Danio rerio: one gene and its partners. The protein of the gene in region 6 purifies or fractionates together with the protein of the main gene of each other region. This does not show direct contact. Links are inferred from orthologs where the notes say so. Each region holds a gene or a part of one and is shown on either strand. Other genes may lie near its edges. The genes, in order: mta2, chd8, polr1e, ran, polr3c, kpna2 and polr3f.

What was found.
Region 1: the proteins of kpna2 (region 6) and mta2 purify together in Homo sapiens (affinity purification with mass spectrometry; 4 studies listed by BioGRID and IntAct, with this or other methods). This does not show direct contact. The link is inferred for Danio rerio from reciprocal best matches to the Homo sapiens genes KPNA2 and MTA2.
Region 2: the proteins of kpna2 (region 6) and chd8 purify together in Homo sapiens (affinity purification with mass spectrometry; 4 studies listed by BioGRID and IntAct, with this or other methods). This does not show direct contact. The link is inferred for Danio rerio from reciprocal best matches to the Homo sapiens genes KPNA2 and CHD8.
Region 3: the proteins of kpna2 (region 6) and polr1e purify together in Homo sapiens (affinity purification with mass spectrometry; 3 studies listed by BioGRID and IntAct, with this or other methods). This does not show direct contact. The link is inferred for Danio rerio from reciprocal best matches to the Homo sapiens genes KPNA2 and POLR1E.
Region 4: the proteins of kpna2 (region 6) and ran purify together in Homo sapiens (affinity purification with mass spectrometry; 3 studies listed by BioGRID and IntAct, with this or other methods). This does not show direct contact. The link is inferred for Danio rerio from reciprocal best matches to the Homo sapiens genes KPNA2 and RAN.
Region 5: the proteins of kpna2 (region 6) and polr3c purify together in Homo sapiens (co-immunoprecipitation; 3 studies listed by BioGRID and IntAct, with this or other methods). This does not show direct contact. The link is inferred for Danio rerio from reciprocal best matches to the Homo sapiens genes KPNA2 and POLR3C.
Region 7: the proteins of kpna2 (region 6) and polr3f purify together in Homo sapiens (co-immunoprecipitation; 3 studies listed by BioGRID and IntAct, with this or other methods). This does not show direct contact. The link is inferred for Danio rerio from reciprocal best matches to the Homo sapiens genes KPNA2 and POLR3F.

Annotation. Positions count from the first base shown.
Region 1 is NC_133182.1:17,905,426-17,908,925, forward strand, and holds part of mta2 (metastasis-associated protein MTA2), read left to right. Parts: intron 1-1,373; coding exon 1,374-1,474; intron 1,475-1,581; coding exon 1,582-1,721; intron 1,722-1,805; coding exon 1,806-2,034; intron 2,035-2,125; coding exon 2,126-2,215; intron 2,216-3,023; coding exon 3,024-3,142; intron 3,143-3,229; coding exon 3,230-3,372; coding exon of another isoform or gene 3,373-3,386; intron 3,387-3,500. UniProt on the Homo sapiens protein: May function as a transcriptional coregulator. Acts as a component of the histone deacetylase NuRD complex which participates in the remodeling of chromatin.
Region 2 is NC_133177.1:41,117,520-41,121,019, reverse strand, and holds part of chd8 (chromodomain-helicase-DNA-binding protein 8), read left to right. Parts: intron 1-1,463; coding exon 1,464-2,111; intron 2,112-3,500. UniProt on the Homo sapiens protein: ATP-dependent chromatin-remodeling factor, it slides nucleosomes along DNA; nucleosome sliding requires ATP. Acts as a transcription repressor by remodeling chromatin structure and recruiting histone H1 to target genes.
Region 3 is NC_133176.1:21,140,520-21,144,019, reverse strand, and holds part of polr1e (DNA-directed RNA polymerase I subunit RPA49), read left to right. Parts: intron 1-939; coding exon 940-1,070; intron 1,071-1,233; coding exon 1,234-1,315; intron 1,316-1,399; coding exon 1,400-1,531; intron 1,532-3,500. UniProt on the Homo sapiens protein: Component of RNA polymerase I (Pol I), a DNA-dependent RNA polymerase which synthesizes ribosomal RNA precursors using the four ribonucleoside triphosphates as substrates.
Region 4 is NC_133189.1:25,986,190-25,988,925, forward strand, and holds the end of ran (GTP-binding nuclear protein Ran), read left to right. Parts: exon of another isoform or gene 1-122; intron 123-228; exon of another isoform or gene 229-1,325; coding exon 1,326-1,496; intron 1,497-1,602; coding exon 1,603-1,647; 3' UTR 1,648-2,236; downstream 2,237-2,736. UniProt on the Homo sapiens protein: GTPase involved in nucleocytoplasmic transport, participating both to the import and the export from the nucleus of proteins and RNAs. Switches between a cytoplasmic GDP- and a nuclear GTP-bound state by nucleotide exchange and GTP hydrolysis.
Region 5 is NC_133191.1:14,620,385-14,623,884, forward strand, and holds part of polr3c (DNA-directed RNA polymerase III subunit RPC3), read left to right. Parts: intron 1-312; coding exon 313-414; intron 415-504; coding exon 505-554; intron 555-1,008; coding exon 1,009-1,158; intron 1,159-2,089; coding exon 2,090-2,206; intron 2,207-3,157; coding exon 3,158-3,239; 3' UTR 3,240-3,277; exon of another isoform or gene 3,278-3,500. UniProt on the Homo sapiens protein: DNA-dependent RNA polymerase catalyzes the transcription of DNA into RNA using the four ribonucleoside triphosphates as substrates.
Region 6 is NC_133178.1:24,115,676-24,117,952, reverse strand, and holds part of kpna2 (importin subunit alpha-1), read left to right. Parts: intron 1-1,811; coding exon 1,812-2,075; intron 2,076-2,162; coding exon 2,163-2,277.
Region 7 is NC_133197.1:25,881,332-25,884,831, reverse strand, and holds part of polr3f (DNA-directed RNA polymerase III subunit RPC6), read left to right. Parts: exon of another isoform or gene 1-178; intron 179-933; coding exon 934-1,041; intron 1,042-1,114; coding exon 1,115-1,306; intron 1,307-3,500. UniProt on the Homo sapiens protein: DNA-dependent RNA polymerase catalyzes the transcription of DNA into RNA using the four ribonucleoside triphosphates as substrates.

The DNA of each region.
Region 1 (3,500 bases), on a different chromosome or scaffold from region 6:
TTATAATTACATAGTTTGCATTCATTTGTATATACATTTTATATTTTACATAGCTATTAATATGCAAAAATCAAATAGCCTAAATCATTGGATTTGTTTAAGGGTGCTTTCACACCTGTGAATCGATTCAGTTGTTCCGAAACAGAGATTAAAATTGTTACATTGTTGCTCTTTGCTCTTGGAGCGGTTCGCTTTCACATTGCAAAGTTTCTAATCGGACCAAAAGAGCTAAAACAAGTCACGTGCGAGTAAACTCTCCTCACATTGGTCAGAGTGTCAGGGTTTATTTTGCAGCGTCCCGCTCAGCTGTCAGGAGAGGTGGTGGTTTGGTGGTGATTGACAGGGTGCGCGCGTGTGACGTGTCTGAGGAGAGATGCGGTGGGGAGGGGTGAGAAGGGTGCGCGACGATGCCTATTTGAGGACTGGGAGAGAGACGCGAGATTACCGGGAGATCATCACTCGTTTGCGGGCATCCGGAGACTCGCGAAACTTCCCGCCCTACTCATAATTCTCTCTTCATATAGCCGTAAGCCTATTACATATCCATAAAACACTGTGATATAAGCGCGCTCGGATCGGATCGCTTTCTCACTGCAATCGAACCGCTCCAGGGTTCGTTTCAATCGAGCCGAGACCACCTCACTCAAGCGATCTCGGAGCGATTACTTTGGCGCGGAACAGAGCGCGATTGCCCTGTTCACATATGCCAATCGAACCGCGCTAACTGGGCAAACGAGATACGTTCCGAAACAAAAGTGTAGGTGTGAAAGCACCCTAATTCGTAGATTAAGTTATGTTGGCTATTTTTTTAATGGATCTTTTATAAGAACTGTAAATAATTTTTCCAATGAAAAAAAATGTTGGTTTGTGGGTTGCTCCGACTTGTGGCCAACAGTGGACATTTCAGAAAGTTTGCGGCTTCTTTCTCTACTTTTGCTAAGACACTGAGGTGTTTATAATGCAGATCCTGGAAAAGGGTTATCAGCACTGGTTTGGCATCAACTTGTCTGTTTCAAACTGTGACCATCAATGTCTTTATTTTCACTCCTTTCATTTTGCTTATTTAGCACAATACGTCTATAGTTGCACTTGTTACCGCCCGGCGGGTTAACAAATACATGTTGTACATTTATGCAGCAAAACTTAAAAAATACTAATTAAAAAAAAAGAATATTTTAAACCATTTAACTGATACATTAATTGATAAAATATGCATTCCTTCGGTTAACAGTTAATCAATTAATGCAAACACCCCTACTTTGTGTATTTTATACTTGCAATTAACTTTCGGCTGTGAGGTCTCTTGAAAATCTCAAATGGTTTGTACATGTCTATCTTCTGTTTACCAATCAAAATGTTCATCCCTCCTTCAGCACCAAACCCAACCCCAACCAGATCACAGCACCTGGAAATAAACCTGGCATGAACGGTGCCACCGGCTACCAGAAAGGCCTCAGTTGTGAAAGCTGCCACAGTGAGTCAACTCGCCACTGCAAACATCCACAAACAGTATTTAGATACAAGCTGAGTAATTCCCATGCACTATACTGTATGTGTTATCATGGCCTGTTGTTCTTGCAGCTGCCCAGTCTCAGCAGTGGTATGCATGGGGTCCTCCTAACATGCAGTGTCGACTATGTTCGTCCTGTTGGATTTACTGGAAGAAATACGGTGGTCTGAAGACTCCAACTCAACTAGAGGGCGCCACAAGAGCCAGCTCAGTATGTCAACACCTACGTCTTTTAAAAATATATACAGCCAGAAAATGAGTATATAGCTAAATGAACATCATATCTGTCCAATAGGAAGCAGCTCCGCGTGGTCACATGACCCGTCAGGAGGTGCAGGGAATGTCCCCGTTTACCAGCAGTGCGGGACGAGCTAAACTTCTGGCCAAAAACAGGCAGACCTTTATCCTGCAGACCACCAAACTCACTCGAATTGCCCGTCGTGTGTGCCAGGACATCCTGCAGTCTCGTCGAGCAGCCCGTCGCCCGTACGCTTCCATTAACGCCAATGCTGTCAAAGCTGAGTGTGAGTCTTTTTATGCAATATATAAATAAAAAAATGCTGTTTTATACAGTTGAATGAAGATGTGTCTGACTGCCTCTTTCTTTTCTTTTAGGTATGATAAGACTTCCCAAAGCAGCAAAGAGTGGTGTGAAAAACCGGCCTATTCCTCGACCATCCCTCATCAATATAGTTAAAGATTTGGGTATGGCTTCAGCATTATTTCATAATAGAGACATGCTTACATCTTATCAAATTAGCTGACTTTTAAAGCCTAAAGTGTACAGTCAGTTTTTATGTATATGCAAGTGTCTACACACAATGTGCATTGGCAGCAGGTATGCATATACTTTGTCTACTTGGTCTCAACACTGAAGCAGACCACTCGCTTGACATTTTGAAATAGATGAGATGAATCAAAACAAGAAGAATTATTACAGATCTTATTTAAAGGCTGTGTCCAAAAGCTCTAAAATGCTGCCTTTGGATACAGCATTCAAAGGTGTGAAGGTATTAAGGGCGTACTCAAACTATGTACAGTTGCCTTGAACTGGGCCAAAGCACGCTTATCGCCATTCCCATCTCCCCTGGCGGCCCGCACTCGCCTTACATTCGAGCCCTGGCACGCTTACGTCATCGCTGATGCGCTGTTCAGTAGAGAAGCGCTCTCGCTCAGCACAGTGGAGATTTCTTACTGTTCAATGACACTTGTCCTAAAAAAAAACTAACCAATATTCATTTTTAGTATAATCTGAGGGATTGTTTTTGTTTGTCAAGCCACTTCTTTTGATTAAATTAACACTGATGCGAATGTAGTGAGTTGCAACTGTAAATGTAAACACACACCTAAATAACTGCAAAGTATACTCTTGGCTTCGTGGTGGGGAAAAAACTACTCAAAAGTGAATAAGTATGGCTCAAGACTGATCATTTGACTCTTATTTATTATTTTACACAATTTTATTCAGAGTATTCAGAGTAATATGTACTCGTTTTATTTATTACTTTTTTAGCCATTCAAGCTCCTTTGAAACTCAAAGCCCCTCGAGGTGCTCCAACCCCGATCAACCGTAACCAGGTTAACCAGCCTCGCAGCGCATCTGCCCTGCTGGGCAAAAGGCCCTTCGACAATGTGAGTATCCCTTACTAATGTACATTAGCCTTTCCCAGAGGTAGAAAAAGTAGCGTACATTGATCTAAGCACCCTCATTGGCCACAGGCTGGAGGTCATTTGCTCTCCACCAACGGAAGACCGTTTGCAATGGGAATGAGAGCAGCCAACCAGTCCGTCATCAAGAGGCAGAAAGTCAGTCAAGGCGATGCTCCCAATCCTGTGGTGTTTGTGGCTACGAAAGACACCAGGTATGCGTTTCAGGGTGTGTTCACATTTGATTACTTTCATTCAGTTTATGTATTCTGATGCTGTTATGGGACGTTCACACAAAATGCGTTTTTCCTTTGCAACGTGCTACTTTCCTATTGTTTTCCAA
Region 2 (3,500 bases), on a different chromosome or scaffold from region 6:
GCACATATGAGATTAGTGACGTCAGTACATAATAACTGGTTATGATCTATTACTGCTCGGATACTGAATTGTTTGTGTGTGCGTCTCGGTGCACAGATGAAACAAGTCATTTTGACACCCCTAATGTTTAAAATATAATAGTGTCATAATAGCTTATAAATTGGATGTTTTATGATGTTCATTGTTAATAAATAATAATTAAATAAATAAAAATATTTTAAAACACACAAGATTGAATTAAAAACGTGTTTGAAATGGTAGTTGTTGTAAAAATATTCTTTGTACTTAAGATATTTTATTTATTTTTTTATACTTTTTAAGTTCGTTATGTCTATTCTTGTGCGCATATTGTGAGTGACGTGCATGCGCCGCTCACACTTTCCAAGTGCACTAGTGCACAGTGCGAGTGCACTGAGAGTCACGTGACATGAAATGGACCAATCAGGTACATACTATTTATAGAATCTGCACGTCATGCTGCAAAGCGAGAAAAAAACTACAAAATGAAAATACCAAACAATTTCATAATACAGTTGATCAAAAGTGCCTTTCAGGCAGAGGTTCAGCAGCCTTTGACTACATTTGTTCTCTAATATGTAGCTTAGATTTACATTAGACAAATGCTATATATTTTTAATTTATTATTCTGTCATTTATTTTCAGTGTAATATTATTATTTATGTTTCAATGCCAAAAACTTTTTAAACTTATTTTTAAGTATATAGAGAAATGGATTATCATCATTTTGTGCTATCTTGATTGGTTACTCCACAGCAATAAAAACACATTAAAATATAAGGAGTTCTCAAGGTATTTTCTAAACTAGTAGTGTTTTGTTATTAATGTATGCATGATAATCGCGATAAATCTAAAACCATGATTATTTTTCAGACTATAATCATACAACCAAAATCTATAATCGTTGACTCCCTATTAACAACATGAAGTCTTATAGAAAACAAGAACTGCTAGTTACAAATTAGGGTTAAGGTGCAATTTAGAGGTTTAGTCATTGCTTGTTCAAAGTAAATAATCCCATTTTATCCGATAATATTCCTCTTTATCTTTCAGTTACTGGAGGGAAAAGGTCTTTTTTTCTCCAAATAACATATTAAACTATCACTATACAGAATAAGTTCCATGTCGCATGGCTTCTCTTGAACTTTTTATAATATTTCATATATCATATCATAAAGGTTAAAATTATTTTACAGCTTGGCTTAAGTAGTTATGAAGTAAATAATTGTTTAATAATTTAATAAAGTTAAATAAAAATGTAAATAATTAATTTCTTTTCCTGGTATAAAAATAGCATTTTTAAAATTGGGCTTTCTCACATACACAGGTTTTTTTTAGATTGCTATAGTCCCACCAAACAAAACTACAGCAAAACACCAAAAATCTTTATTTCTAATTCTTTAATAACACTTTTTTTTCCCTGTCATCTTTTCTTCCTTTATTAGAATCTCAAGATATGTCTCAGTCTCTGGCCCCGATCACAGAAGAGCGAGCCTCACGAACTCTCTACAGGGTCACCCTGCTGTGTCGGTTGCGTGAGCGTGTTCTTCCTCACCCCTCGCTCGAGGAACGCCTCAGTCTGGCACCACAAACCTCTGACCTGCCCAGTTGGTGGAGCATCCCAAAGCATGACCACGAGCTTCTCTTAGCTGCTGCCAGACATGGAGTGAGCCGCACTGAACTCTCCATCTTCTCTGACCCACTGTACTCCTTCAGTCAGAGCCGCCTCGACTACCTCCAGAACCAGCAGGCTCAAGCAGCTGCACAAATCCACGCCTTCAGTCAGTCACAGGATCCAGCCGGCATCAAAGAAGAGGGCCTGGAGGATGAGTCTCGACTGCTGGGTGTGGAGGCTCTCTGTCCGTCAGACTCTCCGGCCATGCTGCTCTCTCATTCTGACAGCAAAGTTGGCATTCAGGCTGGCTGGGTCTGGAAGAAGAGCAAAAACAACGGGCCGAGTGAGAGGAAATTGGGAGGGGGAGGAGGAGGGGCTTCAGACTCTGATTCTGATTCAGATTCAGGCTCGTCTTCCTCCTCTCGGCATTCAGGCAGCTCAGATGATAGTGGAGACAGTGATGTGGAGAGAGAACAAGGTAAGCGGACACTTTATTTTGAAGTCCTCATGATATCTAAATTGACTCGGTGCACTTTTGTTAGTTTTCCATGATATTTTTAGAGTGAAATGTATAGTCAATGCGCTGTTACTCCAGACAAAAATAGTTCGTTGCGTTTAGAAAGCACATTATACAAAATATAATGCTTTATTTTCACGAAATTAACTGTAGAAAAAATATATGATATTTGCTTATTGGTTCCAAAATAAGGCAGAAATCTTTTGAAGGAAACTAAAACATTTTTATTAGCTGTGATTTTAAATCAGGGGTCTCAAACTTAAATTGGCGGGGGCCATATCAATGACTGACAATTCATAAAAGTGGAAGTGGAATTCTCATGTAATTGATGCATTCAGACTTTCTTCCCCAGAGCATACGCAGTCACAGCTTCTTCTTTTTTGTTTCTTATTGTACGTATTGAAGGGGTAGTTTAAGTTGCTATGAAAATACTACAATTTAATAATAGGCATAGTAATATTATAATTACTGTGTCCCAATCTTTACTCAACCAAAAGTTTAACAGATAACACAAGAACAGCAGAAAGTAGATTGGGTAATCTTAGATTGGGTAAGAGACTTTACTGGCAATTGTTCTTCTCAATCACTTTTTTTTTTTTGTAAAACTACAACAAAAAGGGGGTAGGGGTGTATATTCACTATTACTTTAACAAGTTCATTTCAGCCAGCAGTCAAACTTTACTAATGCAGATTTTTTATACAAATCTTAATATGCATATTAAATGAGAGCATTTGAATGGAATATTAGCAAAACTATCATATTTACACCACCCTCATAACCCATAAGCCATTGAGATGAGCTTGTACAACACGATACAGGTGGTGTAAAACTAATTATAATCAAATCACCCTTGAATATTTTAAACATATAGCTTTAGTAGAAATGGAGCATCTACGGACAGATATTTCAGCGTTTAAATCAGCTCCAGAAAATAATCTGCTTGTGGTACTTTCGAGCGCATGCTGAGAAAAACCAAATGCAACCCAAACATATAGTACAGTACTTAAGACGTCCAGTAGGTGGGGGGTCAAAACCACTAGTGGCTATATGTGACTGCACTGCACAACAATGATAGTGATTCAAAAATATATGTTTTGTGGGGACGAATCTCATATTTTTGACATCATATGCGGGCCGGAGGGAGGAGGAGGGGGGGACGCAAATGGCCTGCGGGCTGGCAGTTTGAGAACCCTGTTTTAAATATTAGTTTTTTATAATATATAAAACCTTTCTGATCAATTGAATGCAATGTTGTTGAGTGTGGACAGTTAGTTAAATGTATTTTGAAGTATTTTTAACAAGAGTATATGTATTCTGTAAAACATTAGGGTTTATGGGAAGTGCTAGAT
Region 3 (3,500 bases), on a different chromosome or scaffold from region 6:
ACATGTATTTTTTATGCTCACTGTTATATTCTGATCATTTTTTGTGTTCACATAATTTCAAAATAAAATAATGGAAAATGTAATTGGGGAAACAAACTACCAAAACAGAGAAGGCTTGTTGTAAACTATGGAATGTTTATAGAATTTATCTATGAACAATTTAATCATTTAGATTATAATTGATCGTTTTTAAATGTCTCCAGTAATCATTTAGATACTTAAAACGTTCATATCAAATGAATCTAAGTCTCCTAACTAAGATTAAATTAATGCATTCCTACTGTCAGATTAAAGGAATAGTTTACACAAATGGAAATTTGAAATAAGTTGTTTACATTTTAAGACTTATATTATATGTAAAACAAATGTTACACACATACTGTTTGCTATGGAATGTCAAAACTTTATAGCTCATTATCTCAAAATTATTCAGAACGCAGATATAACCTTGTAATTCCAAGGTGACAAATTGTCATCATTTACTCACCCTCCATTAGTTCCAAACCTTTGAGTTTCTTTTGACCTATATATATATATATATATATATATATATATATATATATATATATATATATATATATATATATATATATATATACTGAAGTATGTTGGAAACAGGTAACCATTGTCTTTCATAGTAAGAAAAATAAATACTATGAAAGTCAATAGCTACCAGTTTTCAACACATTTTTCAAAAAAATCTTCTTTTCTGTTTAACAGAAGAAACACAATCAGGTTTGTAAAAAGGGTGAGAAATTGGCAGAATTGTTCTTTTTTGGTGAACTGTCCCTTCAATTAAAAACAAACCTACAAACATTCTAGAGATGTTTCAGAGTCATGGAAATTAATTTGTGTAGAAAGAGTTTAATTTGAGGTCAATTTTAGCTCCTGATTAGACTTTGAAATTCTTATTTGTACTAATCTAATTGCCTTTTTTAGTCCGCAGACAGTTCTCAAACATCTTGAAACACTTTCCAAAGACGAGGCGGATCGAGACAGACAGTGTCGTTGTGCCTGGTACCTTTCCTTTGTCATCAGAGCCTCGCTACAGAAACGAATTTCCTTTAAATGTGAGTTTTACAGAAGCAAAGCTAAAATATTGAATGCGTCTGTCTGTACAATAGACGATAATATTGTATTGATTACAAATACACTTATTGTATATGGCCCCTGTTTTTTTTTAAGTAAATATATAAATAAATAACCTGAATTGCTTTTAATCCGTTTTACAAGTTGGTAGTGACGATGGATGTCCACGAATCATCATCAACAAAGTGCTGAAGAATTTCACCGTAGAGAGTTTCCACAATGGCAGGTGTGCTTGTGTCTTAATATTTACTATTTTTTGATAAAACCTTCAGATAATGGCCGTATATCAATGCATGTTTTGTCTCTACAGTCTCAGGAACACAGTGTCGATGTCCATGCGCATGAAAATGGCTTCTTACTGTCTGGCTTTACTGCTTCACATGGGTGGCCAGACTGCAAACCTCACACTCCTACACAGGGACATGAGCATCAGCGAAAACAAGTCAGTCCAATGCTTCCATTTACAAACATATTATTAATATTGAGAATTCTTTTGTTGGTTTTTCTGAATTTAATGTGTTATATGTTTCGATATAGGATAATATATTCATCTGCTGTAAGATAGGGCTGGACGATTGATCAAAGTAATCGAAATCGACATTCAGAATTTAAAATCAATCTTTTTCCAGGTCAATTTTATCAATTACTTTTCCTACCATATGTGGAGTCTCGTGACCCTGCTCTGTTTACAGTTCTGTGTTGAGCACAGCATATGTACTGGTGCAGCCTTCACATGGTCGGATACCCCTCGACTAATGCCAACGCTGACCTCTCAAAAATGTAACTACATGTTGTGACGACGCATAACTTAAACTCTGTGATTGGTCTGCTTGGTAGCATTGACAAGTGGCGGCGCGAAGAGGCCAAAGATAAATAAATAAATCATTCATAAATCATAATCGAGTTAAATGTTCAATTAATTGAGATTTTGATTTCAGGCCAAATCGTCCAGCCACATTGTAACACTTTAGTAACACATATACACTATTAGCTACAAACTGTTAGCCTCACTTAATTAATGGTTTACTAACAGTTAGCAGGGTAGTTGTGAGTTTAGGTATATGAGAGGATAATGGGAAATAAAATATGGTTGGACAGATAAGGAATTAATATGTGGTTTATCAGTACTAAGAACAGGTGTAAAATATGCAAGCTAGTTCAAAGTGAGAATTGGTCCCCATTCGGAGTGTGCATTTTCAAAAATGGAAATGTTTGTAAACAATTTCCAGTCAAGCGTTAATGTGGTCAAAAAAATGCTTAATCCTATTGTATGTATATCATAGATTTATATATACACTCCAATATGGACATCTGAAATGGTCATGAATGAGCATACATAAAATTATTGCTAATTTGATAACAGATGTTCGTTTTTTTATTTTATTCAATGACCCAAAGCACACTGCCAAAATATCAATGGATTGGCTTCACAACAACTCGGTGAATGTCCTTGAGTGGCCCAGCCAGAGCCCAGACCCATATCCTATTGAACATCTCTGGAGAGATCTGTAAATGTCTGTCCACTGTCACTTCCCATCCAATCTAATAGAGCTTGAGAGGTACTGCAAAGAGGAATAGGCAAAAATTCCCAAAGAATAAAATTCCCAAAGCCAAGGTGTGCCAAGCACAATTTCAAAAACTCTTTTTTCACATTGTCATTATGGGGTATTGTGTGGAGAATTTTGAAGAAAAAAATGAATTTAATCCATTTCAGAATAAGGCTGTAACAAAAAAAAAAAAAGTCAAGCCCTATGAATACTTTCCGGGTCCACTGTACTGTCAGTCAGAGCAGCTGTTAGCCGTATCAGTTTGAGTCTCAATCAGACAGAAAATTAAGAGGACATAGCTGAACCTCATCCGTGCTCTCCAAAATAAAATCTGACCAGTGTCTTTCACATATATTTGGAATAAGCATGTGCAAGTAATATGAAACATTCATATATATTTTGCGATTTTGTTATCTTAGATTGGAGAGCGGCTACATTGAGAGACAAATGACATTTTACAATCCACACCTTCTGCTATTATGGTTGAAGCTGCTCCTTCTTTGAGGAGTTTTTAGCTGAATCCAGCACTGAACTGGGAGACATTCCGGAAGCTGTTTTTTGTCAAATGCTAGCTACACATGTTTTTAAAATTCACTGGAACGTAATTAAAATTAAACTGTAAGCACTTCTCTCTTTATTTTGTTATTTGGAAGCCCAAATACAGAAACAGAAGAAGCTCTGTGGAAAAAGCAGCGTTTGGACTGCATTTTAGCTTTCTCTGCTATAACAATACAGCGCATCTGGCCACGCCCCTTTGCTGCAAATGGTGTATGTGCGGGGTGAATGCGCGTAACCTGAACCGTTTGTGATCTCCTTAACCAAGGTGTATTTTCTTGTAGTCCACAAACTTCATTCCTTGTAGAC
Region 4 (2,736 bases), on a different chromosome or scaffold from region 6:
TCACTAGGGTCTTAAAATTTACTTAAAAGAAACTTGCAGAAACCCTGCAAAAACTTTAACTTTGCAGCCTGTTAATTGGTGAAACTGAAAGTTGTGAATGCAAAATTCACATAATTAACTTGGCATTTAAAAATTTCTTTTAAGTGATCATAAACAAACAATTCCAAACAAAACTGGAGCAGATTTGCGAATCTCTGCTCTTGTTTTTAAATAAGATTTTATTAAAAGTCTATGATTTAATGATTCATTCATAATTGCTTGTTTCTTTATAAATTATCAGTTTGAATGGATCATTTTTATCTTTTAAATTTAATTTCTCATTAAAGGATTGGTTCAACCAAAAATTCAACTGATTTATTCACCCTCATTTGGTTCTAACCCATTGCCAGAATCTATATTACAATATTTTTAATAAAATCAAGAGCTCTCTTGACTCCCTGGACCACAACATCCACAGTCCTGCAAACCAAACAGAAGTTCCATGTGACTTTAATAGTTTTGTTGTAATCATACAAAGAGCCGAAAACACTTGGATCGACTGAAAAAAAATGAATGTCTTTGTTCACCAAGGTCTACTCTTCTGCATCAGGTCATGGTGCAGGGTCACTGGTCAAAGTGTTTGTTGTCTGTAGTGCAATACGCAAGTGTTGTAGTGCAAATGCACACTCTCCCATGATGTGCAAGACATTTATGATGGTTGTTTTTACTGTTCGTTTTGTTTTTCTTTGAGCTTTAATTAGTTGAATGACTGGGGTTACGTGAAATGGTTTGACAATGGTACTTATTTCTTTTCTGGATATTCTATACATAGAGCTTCATAAAGTGCTTGGATTTCATCTAAAATAACTTCTATTCCAAAAAACAGTGAGGCCTCTAGGATTGAAATGACAAGTGCATGAGAGAGCTTTTTTATTTATTTCCTTTTTTTGGGTGGTTAACCCAGCTACAACACAGACTGGCCGGTACCTACTGATGGATTTTGTTCCATTTATCTAAAAGTCATAAAACAGCCAAGATATCGGCACAGTACAATCCAGAAAATCGAAATATCAAGCTGTCCATTTTTGCTGTAATCATGCACCACTAGTGTGAAATCATGTTCATCTGCCTTCGCTTTTATATTTAAAACCCACATTTTAAAAACCAATCAACAACATTTTGCATCAGAAGTATTCATGCTACTTTTTGGCTAATCTGATACACTGATAGATTTTGTCAATGCTTCTATTCTGTTGTGATGTGAGTGTTCAGGATGTTTCTCCTGTGGATGTGAATGCCAGTTCAGGTTGTCAGATCATTCATGTGATGTCTCTCTCTTTCCTCAGTACTATGACATCTCTGCCAAGAGTAATTATAACTTTGAGAAGCCCTTCCTGTGGCTCGCACGGAAGCTGATTGGAGATCCCAATCTGGAGTTTGTGGAAATGCCTGCTCTTGCACCACCTGAAATTGCTATGGACCCAACACTTGCTGCACAGTATGAGCACGACTTGAAAGTATGTACATTTTTCATAACACAAACATACAAACTTACTGCAACTGCCAAAACTTCATTCAATATGTAATGTTTTTTTTTTTCTTTTTTTTTTTTTTTTTTTCTAGGTGGCATCAGAAACAGCTCTCCCAGATGAAGATGACGATCTTTAACCTGTTAGCCTCTGACCTCAAGGCGATGTCACTGTTTCCTGGTGACGGGTCCTTCCCCTGCCCCTTTTACTGTACAACCTTCCCTCCCCCAGCGCAGAATATTTTTATTTTTCAATTTTCGGTTTTTTGTTTTGTGTTTTGAATTTGAGTAAATTGTGTGGTTGATTTCATTGTAGACATGCTAACTGTTGCCACCAGATACACACATGCAGACATGCCTACACATTGACACATTCGCTCACTCAAAGGTGTGAGAGCAGGCTAAGTGTCCCAGTGCTTACTTCGATATGTAAGGCTCTAAGCACTTAGAGGAATTCTTGGAATAAAAACATTCTCAATATAACCTTGCCTGGTTTCTCCTCAATTTATTTGACCTGAATTTGATAATGTCTCTGAAAATAAAACTATTGGTTGAGTATCTTGTGTAATCGTTGTATTCATCAGCTACTCTGTATTTTTAATCTGTGCTGTGATTTCAACCGTATTTAGTGCTGGATAAAGATTAATCGCATCCAAAAGTTTTTGACCATGTTTTTGTATTTAATACTTGTGCTGCACGCATGGTTAGAAATAAAACAATACAAAACAATTGTTACATGGATATTTATATACAATTTGTACCAGTAACGTTATAGAAACATTTATTAAATATGCGTGCAATGTTCATATACATAATATACACGTAAATTGTCAAATCAAGCCTGTTTTGGGTGCCATTCATTTTTACACAGCTCTCATTTAAATTTATTTTAAAAAGTGAGTCATTAGACCTAGAATTCCTAGATTAAAATTGGCTTTTATGTGTATTGTTTTGCCATTTAATAATTCATTTTATTTGTAAATGACATTTGAGGGCGCCTTAAGTTATAACAAGCATCAGCAGTCATCCCTAAACAAATAAAAACAATTGATGAAACGTTGCTGAACAAAATATTAAATGCATGTTAGGAGATGCAGGTGCTAGACTTAAGACTCACTGCTCCTTAGGTCCAGGGGTAGTAGGTTCCTTATAGCCGAGAAGCCATGGAGCTGAAATATCTGGCTCCCATTAATCAACATTATATTTAAAAGCTGATGATTAATAATAAC
Region 5 (3,500 bases), on a different chromosome or scaffold from region 6:
ATTTATTTACAGTACAGTTTTTAAAATCATATTTATTCTCTTTTAGCAGATCTATTTAATGAGGGACTTGCTTTGTTTACCAAACAAGTGAATCTAGATGGATTTGCTTTGTAAACATTAAATAAAAGTTTAAAAGGTTTTATTTTATTTACTTTTATTTCTTGTGTTTTTAGTTACGATAATCCTGAAATCATTCCGCATGAATCCGCAGATGTTTTAAAAATTCTTAGCAGAAATAGTAAAAACATGTCTGCAGATTCTGTCTGGCCCTTATCAAGACTTCTTTTCACTCCTTTTGTATTATATGTAAAGGAAATCCCCAAAACACCTGATCACGCACCCTCTCGAACCTTCTACCTGTACACAGTTAATCAGCTGCCCACCGCAAGACTACTTCTGCAACACTGCTACAAGGTACGTAGCTCGCACGAACAGCTTTAAAGCATTTGTTTAATTAATGAGTGTATTTTTTGATTTGATATCTGTGTGTGAACCTCTTTACAGACAGTTGGGAACTTGATTGAGCGGCGGCTGTATGAGACCAAAGAGAACAAGCAAGTCTCTTCTCCTTTTCAACATTAAAACATTTAAAGGGATAGATCACTCGAGAAGCTATAATGATCATTTACTCATCCTTTACATGTTTTTAACCTTCATGGGTTTCTTACCTCTGTTGAAAACAAACAAAGATATTTAGAAAAATGTTGGAAACCTATAAGTAATTTGAAACCTTTTTACTCTTGAACACAAACAAAGACATTTGTAGAAAGCTCAAAACCAGTAACCATTGACTTCCATAGTAGGGAAAACAAATACTATGAATGGAAGTCAGTGGTTTCCGGTTTTGAGCTTTCTTGAAAATATTTTCTTTTGTGTTCAAGAATAAAAAGAAAGCTTTGAAATTACTTGAGGTTAAGATAATGTTCGTTTTGAGTGAACTAACCCTTTAATCTACTGTGGAAGTTTTTGATTTTGTCATTAATGTTTTGTTTATTATTATTTTGACAGGCGGCTTTTGGAGAAATCTCAGCGGATTGAGGCCATCCTAGCATCCTTGCAGGCGACCGGTGCGGAGGCGACACAGCTGACCGAGGTGGAGGAGATGATCACAGCTCCTGAGAGACAGCAGCTCGAGTCCCTGCGACACCATATAAACAAGTACTGCAAACCAAGTCCCCTTCCTTTCTGTAGCATTTTATATATTGTAGAAAGACAATAGGTGATCAAATTAAAAAATCTGATAACAATATTTTAATTTGTGGGACATATTCAGCATTTCAGCCAGGTAGCAGTACAGTGGTAGAATGCTAGATATGTGCTAGTTAGTTAAAAACTGATTCAGTTCATTTAATATAAATGTCAGTGTTAAAGGACGATCCCCTGATTTCAAACAAATCAGATCTTTACCACTTTGGGCCCTATCGTACACTCGGTGTAACAAGGCACAAGATGGGTTTCCACGACGTGTTGCTATTTTCAGACCAACGCAACATTAATTTTCCCGTTTTCCGCCCCGTTGTTTAAATAGCAAATCCATTTGAGGCACTTTGTGGACTTATGGATGTTTCAGTCTAGAAAAGAGGTGTGTTAAGGCGCATTGTTGGCGCGTAGCTATTTTGAGGAACTAAAATAGACTGTTCAATAGACATTTATCATGTTTGTAAACATTCAAGATGCGCGCAATGGCTAAAAAACCGGGAGCACTACCATTTACAGCGAGGGAATGACATCTGATGTAGTACAGAGTTCGTTGTTGTCTTAGAAATAAGTTATATTGATTACATATTATATATATTATTTACATAATGCTTTTAGCGTATTATAACAGCTCGTCACTAAGTGATAAACACAGTTATTCTGCTAAATTTACATTAAGGTGAGCGCCATTCGTCTGACAGGTCTATTTGCGATAGCACTCTCCCAATGATTATTGGATAAGACGAAATGGCCAAGCATCGAAAAATACAATCTCATTGAAGCTCTAAGTGTTTTTACAAGAGAGAAGTTAAAGGTCTACAAGTCTTTGGATGCCAACAATTTTGTTTAGCGTGGTCATGTGCAAGAAATAATGTTTCCAATTCACCTATAGCGCATGTCTTCGGACATGTGGGGTAAACCGGAGCAAACCCACCAGAACATGCAAACTCCTCACAGAAATGGCAGTTGAACCACCCAGGGCTCAAACCAGCGACCTTCTTGCTGTGAGGTAATTGTGCTACACACTGCTGCCCTAAAGAGGTTTAACATGTATTAAATAGTTTTTAAACCTTACCGTTTCGTGACTGAGTGCACATTCTGTATTTCTGAATGGCTGTATTTAAATTTCTGTTGTGTTTCATCTGGTGCAAACAGCCTAATTGCTCATCACGGCAAATCTTTTCACACAGTGTGTTGTTAGGACACACGGTTACAATGTTACCTCTGCTCACCTAATGATTACATTCATAATATTTAAATGATCTGCTAATTGATAACCTCATGTGCAACTCTCAATCGGCATCTCATTTCAGAGTCTACTACTGTCCACCAGAGGTTGCAGTTTGGTCACGGATGAATGTTTTCAAAGCCTTTCTGAATAGCGAATGAATAAAATACGCAGTTTTCCAACAAGGCAACTCGGGCTGCTGAAATATAATTGGCTAAAGTGGCACTGGGTGGGTTAAAAGAACCAAAACAAAGACAGCGTTCCAGCATGTAACAGACATTTTCAAAGTAGAATATCTGACTTCAGCATTGTTTTTCAGATAAACAAGATCTGTTCGCTTAGCATGTTTCTTAAGTATCTGCAAACATATTATGGTATTTTTATGCATTTGAAGAGTCAAAATCGTACAGAGAGCACCTTTAAATATTGAATTATTTAGAAACTTACACTGACAGAATTACACTGTGGATTCCATCTTGTGGTCAGATTCGGGAATTCATTATCCGTCCGATTGTTCGCGCTTTATCGAGTTGCATTATGGGATTGATTTTAGCACACTTCAGAATGTCCACTGTAGACACATTTACAAATTACTGCTCCCTCAAATAGATTAAGGGTATAGTTTGTGATTTTGGATACAGCCAGGGCGTTAGTACACATTGTGTCGAATCATGTGGTTTATATTCAGTCAATCATTAATCAAATCTCTTCTCTTTGTGCTCATGGTGGCAGGTTGGATTCCAGCGAAAACCAGGTGGATGAGACCATTTTTCTTCTGGAATCCTACATTAACTCCACACAGGCCTCTCGCTGACTGTAGACTAGTTTAGGATGTGAAATAGATGGATAAAGGTAAATTGTCAAATGGAGATGTTTATTTCCTTTGGAACAAAGAGTGACCGATTTGTATTTAATCACATTTTGTGTGCGTGTGTGCATGTGTGTGTGTGTGTGTTTGTGTTTGTGTTTGTGTGTGTGTGTGTGTGTGTGTGTGTGTGTGTGTGTGTGTGTGTGTGTGTGTGGCTGCAAATGCAATTTTAGCATCCTTTTTTTTTCTCATGTGGAAAAAATAAAA
Region 6 (2,277 bases):
ATTAGTTTTGTTCTTGTTTATTTACACTCTAAGCTTAATAGATATTATTATTATTATATTAAATTTATTATAAAGGTATACACTTAAGATTTACTTTAAACCTTGGGCTCTTTTCACAATCCATGCGCAGGGTGCAAACGCATTAGGGCATGTCAGAATCCACTTTTTCTTAAATAATGAGGGAAAAAATCCGCTTTGCGCCATGGCGCATGGTCTGAAAGGGTTCAGCTTATTTTATTAATGAGTTATAGATGTGTTTTGAGAATAAACCAATCAGAGTCTCATCTCTCATTCCCTTTAACAGTGCGTTGCATCGCACCATAGCGCATTTGCTATTTACATGACGTAAGTGGAAAAACTGAGCGTTTCACTAGCAAGAAAACAGTTAAACAGAGCATCTACAGCGCGAGAATGAGAAATGAGCCTCCTTATTAACTTTCACGTTTGTGGATAGGGAAACGTGTCATACGCACCGACATCAATTAGCCTATAAGTAATTAATTTAGTTTAAGCGCAAAGATTAGTTTTAAAACTATTTCTAAAATCTGTTCTAATTTCCAGCAAACAAATAAATGAACAATAATAACGAAGTGTGTTCAAAAACCTGAGTTATATCCTAATACACATGCTACTCCCATATGGTCTGAAACCTGACAGGTGGGCAAATCTAAGCTCGTTTTTAATTAAGCAAATATAAATATGCATATAATACTGCTAAAAATAATACATTATACATTAGCAAATTGTCATGAATGAACTGAAAAAGCCTCCCGGGATGAAGGCATGAAAGTATAGTTTTTATATTAATTTAGGCTTGAAAATAATCTTTTGTAATATTTTTAATCCTTAATATGTATTATATTTTAATTTTTCATATGTAAAGATTTTTGCGTATTGCTCTACATTTTGTGTGTATTAAGCAGTGTGTAAGCGAGGCGCACAACTAACGTGCTCTGCTGGACAATAGACCGGCTTTGTTCAGGTCTATAGAACCGACTATTATAGTTTCTCAAAATAGCAATGCACCTCAACACGCCATCTTTTTTTAGATCAGAACGCCTATGGGCGCACATATGATTGTAAAATAAAATAATTGTGTTTTTTTTTTTTTTTTTTTTTTTACAAATTTGATGACTACAAATTGCTAATTGCAACTTGTAACATTCTCCCTATAAATTTACATTTAGAAAACCTATTAATGTATTACATTTTTTTTTAATCCGTCTATAAGCTTCTACTGGTCCAGAACTCAGCTGCCCACATCATCACTAAACTCTTTTTCACCATATTACCCCCATTTTACAAAATCTGCACTGGCTTCCAATCCAACCTAGAGTCGATTATAAAATCGTCCTGCATACTTTTTAAGGCTATCCATAACCTCACACCAGCTTATTTGTCTGATCTCTTCCATATCATCACTCATTTCTGCTCCCTTAGATCCTTCTCCTCCATACACTCTGTTCCCTCTGCCAAAGCTATTTGGCTATTTGTATTTTATAATCTTCTCTTTTTTTTTTTTTTTTTTTTTTTTAAATATACTGTGGGTTTATTTTTAAATTATTGAATTGTGTATATTTGTTGTACAGTGATCATGGGTTCTTGAAAGGTGTATTGCATAAAACGTATTTAAAATTATTAGCTAAAAAAAATTAAAATAAAGGTTTTTACATGTATTATCTCTAAACCTCAAACAATGTTGTTTTTGGTGTTCAGGACTATTTGTTTTAAACTGTAGTGAGCATGCATTACCGCTAGATGGCGTGAAAGCTGTGTAGAATTACCCTGACCAGCCAGTTTTTCTTCTACAGGCTGGTTACCTGAGGAACGTCACATGGACCTTGTCAAACCTGTGCCGCAATAAGAACCCTGCACCACCTCTGGAGGCTGTGAAACAGATACTACCCACACTCATCTGCCTTCTGCAGCACAGTGACAAAGAAGTGCTTGCGGACACCTGCTGGGCCATCTCTTACCTGACCGACGGGCCCAATGATCGCATTGAGGTTGTGGTGAACGCCGGTGTGGTTCCTCGACTGGTGCAGCTACTGGCATCTGGGGAGCTGTCCATTGTGGTAAGTTGGTGGAAAGTAGTGAACTCTTGAGTTATACGTTTAAAATGGTAAATTTAATAATAACTTTTTTATTTTTTCCTGCCACAGACCCCCTCACTACGTTCTATTGGTAACATTGTCACTGGCACAGATGAACAAACGCAGGCTGTGCTGGAGGCTGGTGCTCTTCCCATGTTCCCAGCTCTGTTGCGCCACCAAAAGA
Region 7 (3,500 bases), on a different chromosome or scaffold from region 6:
AAGACAGTCTACTGAAAAAAAAAAACTTTTTGTTTTGGCAGTCATTAATTAAAATCTAATGGATATAACTGTATGACTGTATAAATGATGCTATTAATTAACATAGATAAATTATTGTCTCTTATTTCACCTTAACATATTAAAATAAGAAATAAATAAATTCTGTTTGCATAAATGTAAAATAATAAATAATTTTATAAGAAATAAAATTCTCTGGGTTATTTTAAGGTGAATCCTTTTATCAGGTTAAGAAACCCGCATTAGTAAATAACAAAGCCAAATATCAGTTAATCATAACTTAAGCAGACCCATTAAAAAAAAGTTTTGAGCTAGACGTTTGTTTCGTAATGTGGCACGTTTGCCACCTTAGCTTTTGTTTGGGCATATGTGAAATCCGCGATTGAGTTCTTATGAATGCCAAAATGAATGAATGAGATGGTCTCGGCTTAAAATCTAGAGCGCTTCGGTGTTCAGTTGCTTGTTTTAATTATTTTGATCTGTCTATAAACTTTGTCATGTGAAAGCAAAACGCATCAAGAACAAAAAGCAACATTGTAGCAATTTTCAGAACAAAAAAATTGATCTATAGGTGTGAAAGCAAACCTTAAACTGCGTTTCAACTTACTAGTGTGACACCGAATTAATCAGAAATATGTAAGTTAATTCTGAAGTTGATTGAAGTTGAGTCTCAATTTTCCAAATTCAACGGTTCTGAATTCTGAATGTGATGATTTTTGAATATTAGTGTGAATTGTTGATTCTGACTTCCTAATTTGGTTATTTCCAAATTTGACTCTTAAAGAAACACTCCACCTTTGTGAATGATGACTGAATGATGGAATTTAGTTTTATCCATATTTTACAGTAAAATAAACCCTGCATTTACTTAAAAATGTGAAATTTTTAATAATTAGCAATATGTTTGTTTTTTAGGCTGAAACAGCGAGAGATAGTAAGCAGAGCCCTATGGTGCAGAGAAACAGCTCATTTGCCACCTCTCATGAAGTGTGGAAATACATCTGTGAGCTCGGCATCAGCAAAGTGAGTGTCAATAATATGCTTTCTGAAAACATGAACGGAAAAATTCAGTATAATATGCTGCTCCTGTGTGCAGGTGGATCTGTCCATGGAGGACATCGAGACCATCTTGAACACACTGATCTTTGATGGAAAAGTGGAAATGACCATAATTGCCGCTAAAGAGGGAACAGTAGGGAGTGTGGATGGACAGATGAAGCTCTACAGGGGAGTCAATCCCATAATTCAACCCACTGGCCTGGTTAAAACACCATGTGGACTGTGCCCGGTAAACCTTTACTGTTTTTTTTTTTTTTGAAAGAAACTATTAAACAAGTCTGAATGGAGTAATTCAGAATGTTCTAAAATGTTTCCAATATGAATTACTGTGCCTGAGTCTGTATCGGTTAAATCTAAATTTCCGTCTTGATTTTGATAAGTCTGATTTGAAATTGATAATTCTAAAGCCTGAATTCTTATTGGGCTTAGTCTGAATCCTAGATGTGGTGATTGGGAATTCTGAAGAGTCTGTATGAGCGTTGCACAATATGTAGTTTCAGCATCGATATCACAATATGCGCATTTTGCAATAGTCACATCGCAGGATCTGCAATGTTGAACAGGTATTATTTTTGACCAGGAGCTACATTTGAAACTCTCATGATTTGTGGAGGTATTGCAACGTTTAACCATAAACATACAAGACATGTATTACTTATGTGTGTCTTTATCATTTAAGTTAGATTAAAATATTTAGGCATAAAAAAATGTTTCTAACTTTAAAAGCGATTCATTGTATTTATATATATATTTTATACGACAAAGACCATACAGTGTTATTTTACATTTATGTATGTGAATATTGTTAGACTTCCAGACAAATCAAAAAGCACTGTTTATTTAATCTGTATGGTGTAGTGCACTATTATATATCTCAATGTTTGTGATTGGTTTATTATATTTTATGTAGATTCAGTCTCTCTTTCCAAAAAGACTTATTCAATTCATCTGGTGAAATTTTTGATTCAATATCACAATATATATCGTATAAATAAAATATTGTGAATTCATGCAGCCCTAGTCTGTATTAGGAATCTTCATAATTCTGTATTGTATGAAGCAGTATTTTGGATTTAAAATGTTGGTTTCTACATTTTCTGAATTGGTTGGTCTGAATTCTGAATATGATGACTCTGAATTCTTAATTTGAGTAGATTCGACAATTTGACGAGTCTGAATATTCCAAATTTAGGGGTTCTGAATTCTGATTGTTATGATGTTTAATATCAGTATCAATTATTTATTCTGCATTCTTAGTTTGGCAATTCTTATATCTAAATTTGAATGGTCTGAATCTAAGTTTAACTCTTTTGCTGCGTCCACACCAGACGCGGAAGAAGTGCCAAGTGCGAGTGATTTACATGTTAAGTCAAAGCAAAGCTGCGAATATATATCCTGCGCGATACACGCGAATGAGGTGGCGCGAATGATGTGGTGCAAGTTGAGCATTTTGCGCTATTGATACACTTGACGTGCGTTTCGAGCGAATTGCCCGATTTGGTAAAATCTGAACTTCAGCAGACAGTTAACCAATCAGGAGGCTTCACCACATTAACCAATCAGGAGCTTGTTCTTGTATGGGGTATGCTTATGACGTAGCGCCTGTTGTTGGTGTCCTGAGGGAAAATCCCCCTGCCGACACTGACAACCGTTGATCAAACTGGGCTCGGCTCAATCAGAAGCACTGCTGAATGCCTCCATCATCCAGATTATGTTTCTGGAGGAGTTTATGAACTCACAGAGCTGGTTGCAACTCAGAAAGGATATAGTGGACTCAGACATGGCTCCAAACGAATTGATGCTGTTTTTCAGCCTTCATAAAGCACGTAAAAACAGCTATTCACTCAATAAAATCTATGTTAGCCATTTAGCAACAAAGCTACAGTTGCCAGGAAGACAAGCCCTAACCATGATGCGATCCTGCATCTGTTGTGAAGCGGATGATGCACAAATGAAGCGAGTAAACTCAAAATGTTCACACATTTATAAACGAGCGAATAGCGCATGCCACATCTGGTGTGGACACAGCATTACAGGAACATGCTCTTTTCACTAGTCTCCTAGAGTTTAACAGTTAACTTGAAACATTTTTGAATCCATTTAGACGATTTCTTTCTTTCTGGAGGCGTCTCTTTTAGCTTAGCTTAGCATAATGCATTAAATTGGATTAGACCATTTGCATTTCGTTGAAAGAATTAAAAAAATGTTAATAGTTTTCCTATTTAAAGCTCGAGTCTTCTGTAGTCACGTTGTATTATATAAAATTGTAGCTTTTATTTATACTGACAGAAAATTAAAAAGACAATATTGCTAGGATTTATGCTCTCATTGTGGTCAAGAAACTGCATAGTGTCTATATAATAAATACATCGTACACACGCATTATGGGGCGATGCAGTGGCGCAGTAAATAGTGCTGTCGCC